3 linked regions of the Drosophila melanogaster genome follow. The protein of the gene in region 1 purifies or fractionates together with the protein of each later gene. This does not show direct contact. Each region holds a gene or a part of one and is shown in the gene's direction. Other genes may lie near its edges. The genes, in order: Mec2, CG13220 and Arl8.

Region 1 (3,756 bases):
TGCCCTGCGTGGACGACTACTATCCGGTGGATCTGCGCACCGTCTCCTTTGACGTGCCGCCGCAGGAGGTGCTCTCCAAGGACTCGGTTACTGTGACGGTAGATGCGGTTGTCTACTACCGCATCAGCGATCCCCTCAAGGCGGTCATCCAGGTGTACAATTACAGCCATTCGACGAGTCTCCTGGCGGCCACCACGCTGCGCAATGTGCTCGGCACCAGGAATCTGTCCGAGCTGCTGACCGAACGCGAGACCATCTCGCACACCATGCAGATGTCCCTGGACGAGGCCACCGATCCCTGGGGCGTTAAGGTGGAGCGCGTGGAGATGTGAGTAGCCAACTGCCGAAAGTCGTGATGTGATCATGACATGATCCACTCTATCCATGATCCGCTTGCAGCAAGGACGTATCCTTGCCAACTGCCCTCCAGCGGGCGATGGCCGCCGAGGCGGAGGCAGCGAGGGAGGCGCGGGCCAAGGTCATTGCCGCCGAGGGCGAGATGAAGTCGTCGAGGGCTCTGCGCGAGGCTTCCGAGATCATCTCGGCCAGTCCATCCGCCCTGCAGGTGAGTCATCTTCTTCCATCTGAATCCAACCATCGGACATTTGGAACTGGCCCAAATGGTTTCATTCGTTCCATCTTCTTCTCTACTTAGTTGCGATACTTGCAAACACTGAGCAGCATTTCAACCGAGAAGAATTCGACCATCATCTTCCCGCTGCCCATGGAGCTGCTCACGCCCTTCCTGAATACCCAAGCACACTCGCAGCAGCTGCAACTGCAACACCAGCAGCAGCTGCAACAGCAACAGCAGCAGCATCAGCACCAACAACAACAACATCCTGCGGCTCCTGGCACGCCACTCCATCGACACCCGCACCAACACCACCAGTGACGCTCGATGTCGGTGCTGCAACCATATCTGGAGGCACTGCATCGCTGCGAGCTGCAGCGTCAGCAGAAGCAACAGCGAAGCGGAGCGGCTGCAGCGGGAGCGGCGGATGACGATGACGACATCGTGGGTTTCTTGCTCTAGTGGAACGGCGGCAGCAGCGACAGAAAGCGGAACTGTCCGGAAAATCCGGAAAATGAGTCACCAATGAATTCGAATGAAAGTGCCATGGAATTCCCTAGATTCTGGAGAGATTCAAACATGGTTCGGACTTAAAAATAAATTTTTTTTTTTTAGAATTTATTCTAATATGTCGAATTTAGTATGCAATAGTAACTGAGGCTTTTCCAAGGCTTTTCCTTCTTCATTCACAGTCGTTTTAAGTAGAGACGTTATATTTAAAATAACCAATATTATTTGTTTGTATCTTAAGAATTAATAACAATAGCTAACTACAAACCAGGGTAAAAGCTAACCATTTAAATAAACCAAATGATTCAGAAAACACATTTTTTTTTTCAGTTCTTCCCCCTTTTTCGAAACAACAAAATTTACATTTATATATGATATATATATATGTATGTACATATTTGCTCTTCGCTTATCTAAATAACTCAGATTTGCATGCCACTTCAGCGAGTGTGGCAGATAAGCTCTTCAGTGCTAATGTGACCGCCAGATCAGAATTGAGTCACCATCGGGTGGCTCCAGCCAATGACCCGTGACCCCAAAGCAGAACTGCGTCTCAATGCTCCAGCTGAGATAACCGATTGATTAAAGTGCTAAACGCACTTGGGCCAGATAGAGCTTACTCGGCTTTCATTGATCGTCGGTCGGAATAATCTGAAAGTGTACGCCTCCAGTTGGCAATTCTTTCGGCGCAGTGCAGTGAATCATCCGTGGTGACCCATGGCTCTCGACTTACAGAGCGGCTCTTGGTGTTTCCCCGGTCGTAGATACACTACACTGAACGAAAATTTACGAGCCGATGCATTTACATTCCATTCCATTACATTCTCTTATATGGCATGTGCTCAATTGCTGTGGAGGATGTACGGACTAGAGATCGCCTCTTTCAGTGGCGGCACACTTGGTTCGTGGTGTTTCAGTGCAGTGCTTCTTTTCTCTCACTGTTGAATCGCATTTAAGCCGCTCGGCAGCTCAGCGTAGCGATAATGCCAATGCGATACTTCGTATCTGAGAGAACCAGTGCGCTCTTATCACGTGAGAACGCTTTTGGGCATTCAGTTTGGCTTTTGCGGCGCTGACCGCTGGCGACAGTTTCGAATCCATAGCCGATCGGAGAGCAACGAACGTAGGCCAGAACGGAGCAGAGAAACAGCAATGGAGCCGCACCAGGATTCGCCCGTGTACGCCAACTACGAAGATATGCGCAACTCTGGGCCGGCCAGCTCCACGGCGTACATGGTCAACATGGGCGCCGCCGGCATGGCACCCGAGCCGGCACTTCGAGTGCCCGGCACCACGCAGCAGTATCGTGGATTCAAAACTTGTAAGCGGGCGGAAACGGTGTATACTATAGATGCAGCAAGATGATGACCCATCCCGGCCAATATTAGGAGAATTATTATTGTTAAAAAAAAACAAGTCTTTGCTTACTGTCAAGCGCTAATCACTTTAGATCGATTGAGATACGATTTCTTGGAATCGCTGGTTCAGATAAGATTGCAACAGCATTTTGATCGCGTGAAAAGTTTGTTTTTGGCTCAAAGCATTCTACAATATTTCAGACATGCAAAACCGCTTGATTCGGTTAATAGTATTCACTAGATAGGAGTTCTAAAAATACAAACTATCTCTCGCTTTATCAAAGTAGTACTAGTAGCAATTTGATTTCCATCGTAATCCCACATAATCGTCAATTGCTACAACATTCTAATTGTATTGGCGCATATATATTACACCTGTCTATATTTTTAATCGTAGGAATTTTTATTGGACTCCAAGATAAGCGGGCTGATTGGTGTTTATCCGTGTTTTCTTTTTTTTGATTGTGATGGCTATTGCTTTTCACAGCTTTCTCTTTTTCAAGTTGTTACATAGTCCATCATAGTCCTGTTTTACTTAATAATAAGTTGGTCTCTTCGGAATCCGGACAAAGAAGGTACTTCATCTTGGCCATCGAATTGAAGTGGACTTATCTACGTTTCTCTTGCGGCACAATTATTGTACACATATGCCTGAAATATGGCCATTTTGTAGATGAATATTTCATATTCATATTCCTAACATCCCATTGCAGCGGAGAACGAGCCCAAGGGCTGCATGGAATGGGTGGTCACCCTGTTCTCCGTGCTGATCTTCATCATCACATCGCCCATCGCCATCTTCATATGCTTCAAGGTGGTGGCGGAGTACGAGCGGGCGATCATCTTCCGGCTGGGCAGACTGAGCGGCGGAGCTCGTGGTCCCGGCATGTTCTTCATCCTGCCGTGCATCGATGAGTACCGCAAGGTGGACCTGCGCACGGTTACCTTCAATGTGCCGCAGCAGGAGATGCTGACGAAGGATTCCGTGACGGTCACTGTGGACGCCGTTGTCTACTATCGCATCAGTGATCCCCTTTATGCGGTCATCCAGGTCGAGGACTACAGCATGTCCACTCGCCTCCTGGCGGCCACCACGCTCCGAAATATCGTCGGCACTCGCAACCTGTCCGAACTGCTAACCGAGCGCGAAACCCTGGCCCACAATATGCAGGCCACGTTGGACGAGGCCACCGAGCCGTGGGGCGTCATGGTGGAGCGCGTTGAGATGTAAGTAGCCATTTAGTAGGCATTTGACATCCATCAGATCAGATCAGTATTTCTTAACATCTGTACGTTGTATGCACTTCACCCGCT
Region 2 (3,472 bases), on another chromosome or scaffold:
TTAATCTCTGTTGTGGGATCGACGCACTCCGGCAGTCCAGCTTCAATGGAAACCCAAGCGGAAAAGCAATCCACTTCCTCCTGACCCAATACAATCGTTGGCATCTGCAAAGCATAATTAAGTATAAACGAACTTAAGCTTCAATAGAGCTTAGCTTAACTCACCCCGGTTTTCAGATCAACAGTGAACCAGTTTGGAATGTAGACCTGCTTATTACGCTTCTTCACCTCCGCTTCGAAATCAACAGCGCCCAATTGCTCTTTTTTGACAACTCTCAGCACATCGTACACCACGACCTGATCTTGTGAGTCCTTGGTTATGATATAACGTTTGTCGTTCAGCACCGCGCACTCCTTGATGGCGGCTCCACCTTTTATGCAGGCCACCTCAGTGCCGCCCTGTGTCCATTGTGCGTCCATTCCGCCCGAGGAATTTAGTGTGCACCTGTCGTACATGGGCAGCTTCCAACAGCGAATGTCCGAGTTCCAGGTGGTGGCCCACACCCCAGTCTTGTCGATGTTGTAGCCCAGACTCAGCACGGGCGCCTGCTCCTCGCACACAAGCGTTTTGTTACTAGGGTTCCGCATCTCGGTCACAATGATGTTGCGATCCCGACTGCCGGAGATGATGTACTGGAAGTTCTCGCTCATCAGCAGCGACCACACGCCCTCCTTGTGCACGTGGATGGTTTGAACACAGCGCTGTTGGCCCAGGTTCCACACCTTGATCGTGCCGTCGGAACTGCCAGACACCACCTGGTTTCCATCGGGCGACACCACCAAGCAGCGCACGTTCTCCGTATGGCCTCGCAGCTTCATTCTGCGCATACAGGTGCGGGGATCCCAGATACGCAGTATATTCTCCGTGGACCCGCTCACAATCACGGTGCCCGATGGATTCATGGCCAAGCTGTAGATTGAGTCCTTGGACCCGGTTAGACTAGAGGTGGTAACCGTGTTATTGCTCGCCGTGAGCGCGGTCAGTGTGTTCACGTCCCACAGGAAGATGGCCTTGTCCAGTCCAGCGCTGGCCACCTGTTCCCGATCCTTGGCGTAGGCCAACGCCTGCACGTAGTCGCGATGGGTCCGCAGGGTGGACATGCAGAAGCCTTTCTGGGCGTTCCACACCTTCACCGTGGTATCACAGCTGGCGCTAATAACTATGAGTGCAAAAGATTGAATGTTTGAATGAATGCCTAAACTGATCGGTGGAGCAACTCACGGTTCCTGCCATTACAGCAAAGTACTATGTCGTTGACCCAGTCGTTGTGGTGCTCCATCGATTGTATGTACTTCTCGCTGGAGTCCGTCCGTGTATTCCACACACGGATTATGGCGTCGCGACCGGCGGAGTACAACTTGCCGTTATTGGCATCCAGCTGCAGAGCGTTTACGCCATTCCGGTGCTGTTTCTCCTCGGCGTCCCGTATCACGAAGGAAACCTGGCGTCCGACGGTTTAATTGAATTAGTTTGGGCTTAGGTGTCCGCTTTCCTTCCCGTTTTCAATTGGCGCACTCACCTGCATTTTCTTACGTGCCTGACAAGTTTTGTGCGTCAACATGTCGTCCACGGATCTGCTGCACTGTGGCTCTCGGCGATATCTCTGGACTGAAGTGCTTCAGGAGCTGGCGTTGGTTGTTCTCTGCTCGCGGGGCGCGCACATTTATCGACGTTGCTTTGGGGCGGCTGATATTTACTTTTTGCAAATTGAAATTGAGGAATTTCCAGGCAACTACAAATTTTTCGCACCTATTTCGCTCTCTGTCTCTCCCCATTCGGTCCTCCCACCTCTCAGGCACTCCTCCACTCATTCTCCTGCGCCGGCTGGTGTTGCCACCTGGTTGTGCACACCGTGCCGGCTGTTCAACAGAGTTGACACTTCTTGTTCAGAAAGGTGACTCGTTCCGGAACCACTAAACTTAAAAATTCGAAAATTTTTAAAAAACCAGCCAAGAAAATAACTATAACATTTGTTTTTAATTGTACATTCAGGAAATATCGGGGCTAATGTTATGCAAATACGCAAAACGCCCACTAACATGAGCGCTCCAAGCGTTAAAGCCCTTGATAACAAGTACTCTCCCTGTCAGATATGTACATTTATATATTAGGATCTCTCAGACATTGACATATTATATTGGTCAAAACATTTACATCTTTATACACATATCTACCTAGAACCAGTGATATACCATCTGCAGAGTGTCCGCGAAGACCGACATAACTTTCACATATATCGCGACCTGGCAGCCCTATTCTTTACATAACAAGAAGAAGAAGACTCGTCGACCTCACCGGGATCCAAAAACTTAATTGCATTTTCACCGATAATAATGGCCGGGACACAGTCAAAAGACGCCTGCAGCATATGCGACAAAGTGGGCCTCAAGCCCTTCACCCGGGATAATGTGTTCAACTACTACATACCGCTGCACGGCCTGGTGAGCTACGGAGCCCTTGCGGTGAATGTTATGAACCCCCAGATCGTGCCCAAAATCCTGCCCAAGAAGGACCTGACGAACGTGTTCCTCATCTCCGCGGTGGTGGGCAGTGCCTTCTACATTTACGGCAGGCCCCACCTGAAGGACGTGAAGAACAACAAGCGAGGTGCGTACGCCCTGCTGGGCGCCACCCTATTCTCCATGGGATCCGTTCTGGCCTGGGCGCTCATCAAGTCCGCCCTGCCACAGGACAATGCACTGCTGGCGACCCTGGCGGGCTTGGGAACTGGCGCCGCCATCGTGAAGGTCGGCACTGATTACATTCAGGACGTGGATAAGCTGCAGAAGAACTAGATGATCTGATCGATACGATATAGGACTGAGGTATTCGAACCCAAAAGTGGGTTCGTACTGTAATTGCTGTCTTGGCCGTACATAGCTCGTAATGCAATATTATCTCCCGCATATTTGAATAAAATTATACTATAAACCCGACTGAGCGGTGTGTTTTGCTGTGTCAAGAGATGGATAATGCCGGGTGTAGATTGAAAATGTTTGCGTTTATTTTAAATTAAATGTACCTTTAATTGCCGTCTCTTAACTGCTAGTAATGCTTAACAATTGAATTGTTTTAATTTATGTTATGTATGTGTGGTATATGCGTTACCTTTATAAATGGTTACTTCGTTTATATAAAAACATCTAATCGGAAACGCCAATATGTACATTCTTGTCGGATTAAAACATTCTACAAATTGCCTTGGCGACTTTGAATTGACGACTACTTTATGGTAAATATATTCTTTTTGTATTGCGAATTATACACTTTAAACTTATTTTTAATTCTTGTATACATACTTTACAAACGCTCAATGGTCGGACTTAACTATCAATAAATCAGTATGTATATATATATATATACCATTATATATACTAAAAAAAATCATTGAAAATCGTTGCAACGGTTGTCTTCAAAAGGAAATGATTTTCGCGCTGCAAAAAATTCGAATCAACTTAGTTATGAATACATA
Region 3 (3,756 bases), on another chromosome or scaffold:
CGTGCTGGCCGACAGGGCACATCAATAAGCTTTTTTACGCGCGAGGATTGGGCTATGGCCAAGGAACTAATTGAGATACTGCAGGAGGCGGAGCAGGAAGTGCCCGACGAACTGCACAACATGGCTAGACGCTTTAAAGCCATGAAGGACAAGCGCGCTGCTGAAGGTGGCGGTTTTGGAGGAAGAGGTGGTCGTTTTGGAGGCGGACGTGGCGGCGGACGCCGAAATTTCGATCAATTTCAATACTGATTCATTCTACATTTTCTAGTTATAAGAGACTAGAGCGCATTGAAGTGCCTTGCCAAAAATTGTTTAACTATTTATCTATTCCAATTATAGATGATCATAACCCAAAACATGCCGTGTTAAAAGAACACGCGATTTAAATGTATCAAACTAAGAGTTTAGAATGTTTATTGAGCTTAGTTAGTGCCACCGGCGTATTTCTCCAGCAGTTCCCGTTTCCGCTGGCGCAGCAGTGCTTCCTGTACATCTTGTTGCGTCGGCACGGGAACGTGAGCGGTGAACTTGGATGCCAATAGGCCATGAGGATCCTCCACGGCGGCTCGAGCCTTGGCATCCTCGATGGCTTCGCGTGCTGGTCCCGAAAGGGGATATATTTCATCCTCCTCTTCGTCATCGATTATGCGACCATCTCTGGCCATTTTCTCCCGCCATTCCTGCACGGCCTTCTGAATGGCCGCTCGTTCGATGCGTTCCTCCAGAGGGATCAGAACACCATCTTCGTCATCTCGATAGCCGTAGTATTCGGCATCTATGTCCTTCATTAGTTCAGCGCGTGATTTCCTGGGTGGCGGCGGAGGATCCTGTTCAAAGAGCTCGCGAACACCCGGCAGATCCTTGGCGGCTCCAAAGTATTTGTAGCCTCGATTGCCGGGAACTTCACGGCCCTCCGCATCGAACATCTTGGGACCATAGCGTCTATAGTGGGGGCCACCCAATGAGGATATCTGATTTTCCCAATGCCGTTTCTCACGCAATAACTTGTTGATTTCATCGTTCAGATCGCGAATCCGGAATTCTCCCAAGCCAGCTATAAGTGGTCGCTATTAGTGTATATTGTTAGGGAGAAATAAATAAACCGAAATAGGTACCATTCTGTATCTGGGCCACCTTCTTCGATATGTCGCGTATTATCTCCAGGCGGAACTTCTCACATCTGGGCAAATCGTGGCACTCGGAGGCCAAATAGGGCCGGCGTTCCTTTTCACCAGATTCCACTTCTTTTGCGGCCCGCCAACGTGCCAAAGTTGTCCTGTCGAAAATAAGCGGATGAGTGCTGGAAATCTTATGTTATACGTATATCCGGGTTACTTACATTGCCTTCTCTGCATTGCGCGCCTGAAAATATACATGTATTATTCATTTAATTAAAATTAATAAAATTTTCACATCATCTTACCATTTTGTTTACTAACTTCTTCTGCCTTAATTGCCAGTCACAGCGAACTATACGGAAATCGGTTACACGTTATCGATAGCAAGTACAGTAAATATTGTCCAGTAGCGATTTCACATATATTTTAAATGCAATTTATTAATAATATTCCCGATGAAACCCGAAGACATAATATTATTTATTTGTACTTAATATATATATACCATATGAATTTTATTTTCTCTTAATTGGATACATGCTGAAATAAACGATTACCATTCACTACGAATACTACTAAGTACACTACCGCGCACTTGGCCACACTGACCTGCCCAGTTGTTTTTTCACGACAACATTTACGCTCTTTGGAAAAGGAAACCTTTTTTCGCGAATTTCAAGCAGATCCCGACCAGAAACACACCTGCCCCAGGATGTTGGCCCTCATCAACAGGATCCTCGAGTGGTTCAAGAGCATCTTCTGGAAAGAGGAGATGGAACTCACGCTAGTGGGGCTGCAGTTCTCCGGGAAGACGACGTTCGTCAATGTTATTGCAGTGAGTATTTTCGCAGTGGGTGTGTGCGAATTCGTGTGGGTGTATGGGTGAGAGGGTGGTTTTTTTTGTGTGTGGTTGTCTGTTGTGTGGGTGGGGAGGGGGTTCACGGAAAGCCGGGGGATCAGCTACTACTTAAAAAGCATTACAAACCCCCAGTGACAAAGGAATTGGTCTTAGCTTGATTCCCCCACTCTAACATTGTTTATTTCTTATCTTTTCGTACTCCCAGTTTCTTTCACTGCATCCGTAATTAACGCTGTGCTAACCGTTTCCTTTTAGTGGTAAAGTTTACCGTTCCTGCCGCTGTAATCAATAAACCTACATATAGCCCATATATACGCATGTTTCTCCGCACAATGACGCCATTATCAGCACTTCAACCCCTGACCCCGTATTCCCGTACCGCCTCCCTGGTTTTTTTCACACATTTCTGCACGCTGATAATGCGACGATCTCAAGTTACCATTTACTGGAACTCGTAGATAGTTGCATACACTTGCCAGTCGTTGCGGGAGGTGGAGTAACTACTGCCTTTGTGACCGCCTGACTTATTATGAGTCATGTGAATTCGATTCAAATGTCTGCCCGCATCTACGGGAAATTTGTTTGTTCAAGTGCTCCCGAAACGGAAATATTCCCCTGCTTATCACTGCTATTAGACTCCAATTCCGTGTTTGCATTCAGATTCGTGCATTAGTGTAATGTTCAGGTTCGGAATGAAAACAAACTTGTGGGTGGCGCCAATTAGTCACTTTTCCCATTTCACTAGCGACTGCTAACCTATAGTATACCTTTTTAATTTAAACTAAGTCACAGAAGTAACATCTTGCCATTTTAGGAGCTTTCGATTCTCTTATTGAATGCATATGTAAGGTGATTGATGCTGATACAGAACAAAGATTTATGGGTTAGAATCAATTATCAATTTAAGTGTTGTATGTTGAATTAAATTTAGTACCAAAAGACATTGTTTGATCAATACTTTAAGATATTACAATAGTTATTTATTTAAGAGCATTTTCAAAAAGAATAACAAATTTTTTAAGGTTTTGGATGCTGTCATGTGTAAAAAATCAATTTTTTACACGAGTTTTACATTATTTTGGATTGCATACTTCTAGGCTTTGTTCTTTGCTAATATAAAAGTTGTATTTTATTTAAGACACGATTACTTACTAATTATTTTTGTTTCTTGTAGTCCGGCCAATTCGCTGAGGACATGATACCCACAGTTGGATTCAACATGCGCAAGATCACCAGAGGCAATGTGACTATCAAGGTGTGGGACATCGGAGGCCAACCTCGATTCCGATCCATGTGGGAGCGCTATTGTCGCGGCGTTAATGCGATTGTGTAAGCAATAATGATACTTAAGCAACAATCGGTAGTCAAGTAACACTGTAATGTATTAATCAACAGCTACATGGTGGACGCAGCCGATCTGGACAAATTAGAGGCCTCGAGGAACGAGCTGCACTCACTGTTGGACAAACCGCAGCTCGCCGGCATTCCAGTTCTCGTGCTGGGCAATAAACGAGATCTTCCAGGCGCTCTCGATGAAACCGGACTCATCGAACGAATGTGAGCGCCTTAAAATTGTTAAAACTATTTAAAAATTATAAATTAATCATTTAAAATAAATTGCAGGAATCTATCGAGCATACAGGACCGTGAAATCTGCTGTTATAGTATTTCCTGCAAGGAGAAGGACAACATTGACATCACGCTGCAGTGGTTAATTCAACATTCGAAAAGCCAAAGTCGTTAGATAACGAACACCGACATACACACAACTCCGTACCC

Evidence for each region.
Region 2: the proteins of Mec2 (region 1) and CG13220 purify together in Drosophila melanogaster (affinity purification with mass spectrometry, with the first as the bait; one large-scale study listed by BioGRID). This does not show direct contact.
Region 3: the proteins of Mec2 (region 1) and Arl8 purify together in Drosophila melanogaster (affinity purification with mass spectrometry, with the first as the bait; one large-scale study listed by BioGRID). This does not show direct contact.

What each region holds. Positions count from the first base shown.
Region 1 is NC_004354.4:19,185,879-19,189,634, forward strand, and holds the start of Mec2 (Mec2), read left to right. Parts: upstream 1-2,156; 5' UTR 2,157-2,236; coding exon 2,237-2,405; intron 2,406-3,155; coding exon 3,156-3,669; intron 3,670-3,756. Other genes in the region: CG33253 (uncharacterized protein), read left to right, coding at 1-328, 400-565, 656-895.
Region 2 is NT_033778.4:11,282,165-11,285,636, forward strand, and holds CG13220 (uncharacterized protein), read left to right. Parts: upstream 1-2,118; 5' UTR 2,119-2,333; coding exon 2,334-2,795; 3' UTR 2,796-2,934; downstream 2,935-3,472. Other genes in the region: CG9062 (uncharacterized protein), read right to left, coding at 1-104, 165-1,159, 1,222-1,441, 1,520-1,561.
Region 3 is NT_033777.3:8,124,890-8,128,645, forward strand, and holds the start of Arl8 (ADP ribosylation factor-like 8), read left to right. Parts: upstream 1-1,715; 5' UTR 1,716-1,830; coding exon 1,831-1,953; intron 1,954-3,151; coding exon 3,152-3,306; intron 3,307-3,372; coding exon 3,373-3,534; intron 3,535-3,600; coding exon 3,601-3,721; 3' UTR 3,722-3,756. Other genes in the region: CG7878 (uncharacterized protein), read left to right, coding at 1-249; CG9667 (uncharacterized protein), read right to left, coding at 423-1,054, 1,116-1,276, 1,340-1,362, 1,424-1,426. UniProt on the Drosophila melanogaster protein: Required for normal functioning of the late endocytic pathway including lysosome motility and late endosome-lysosome fusion. Not required for the delivery of lysosomal membrane protein-containing vesicles to late endosomes.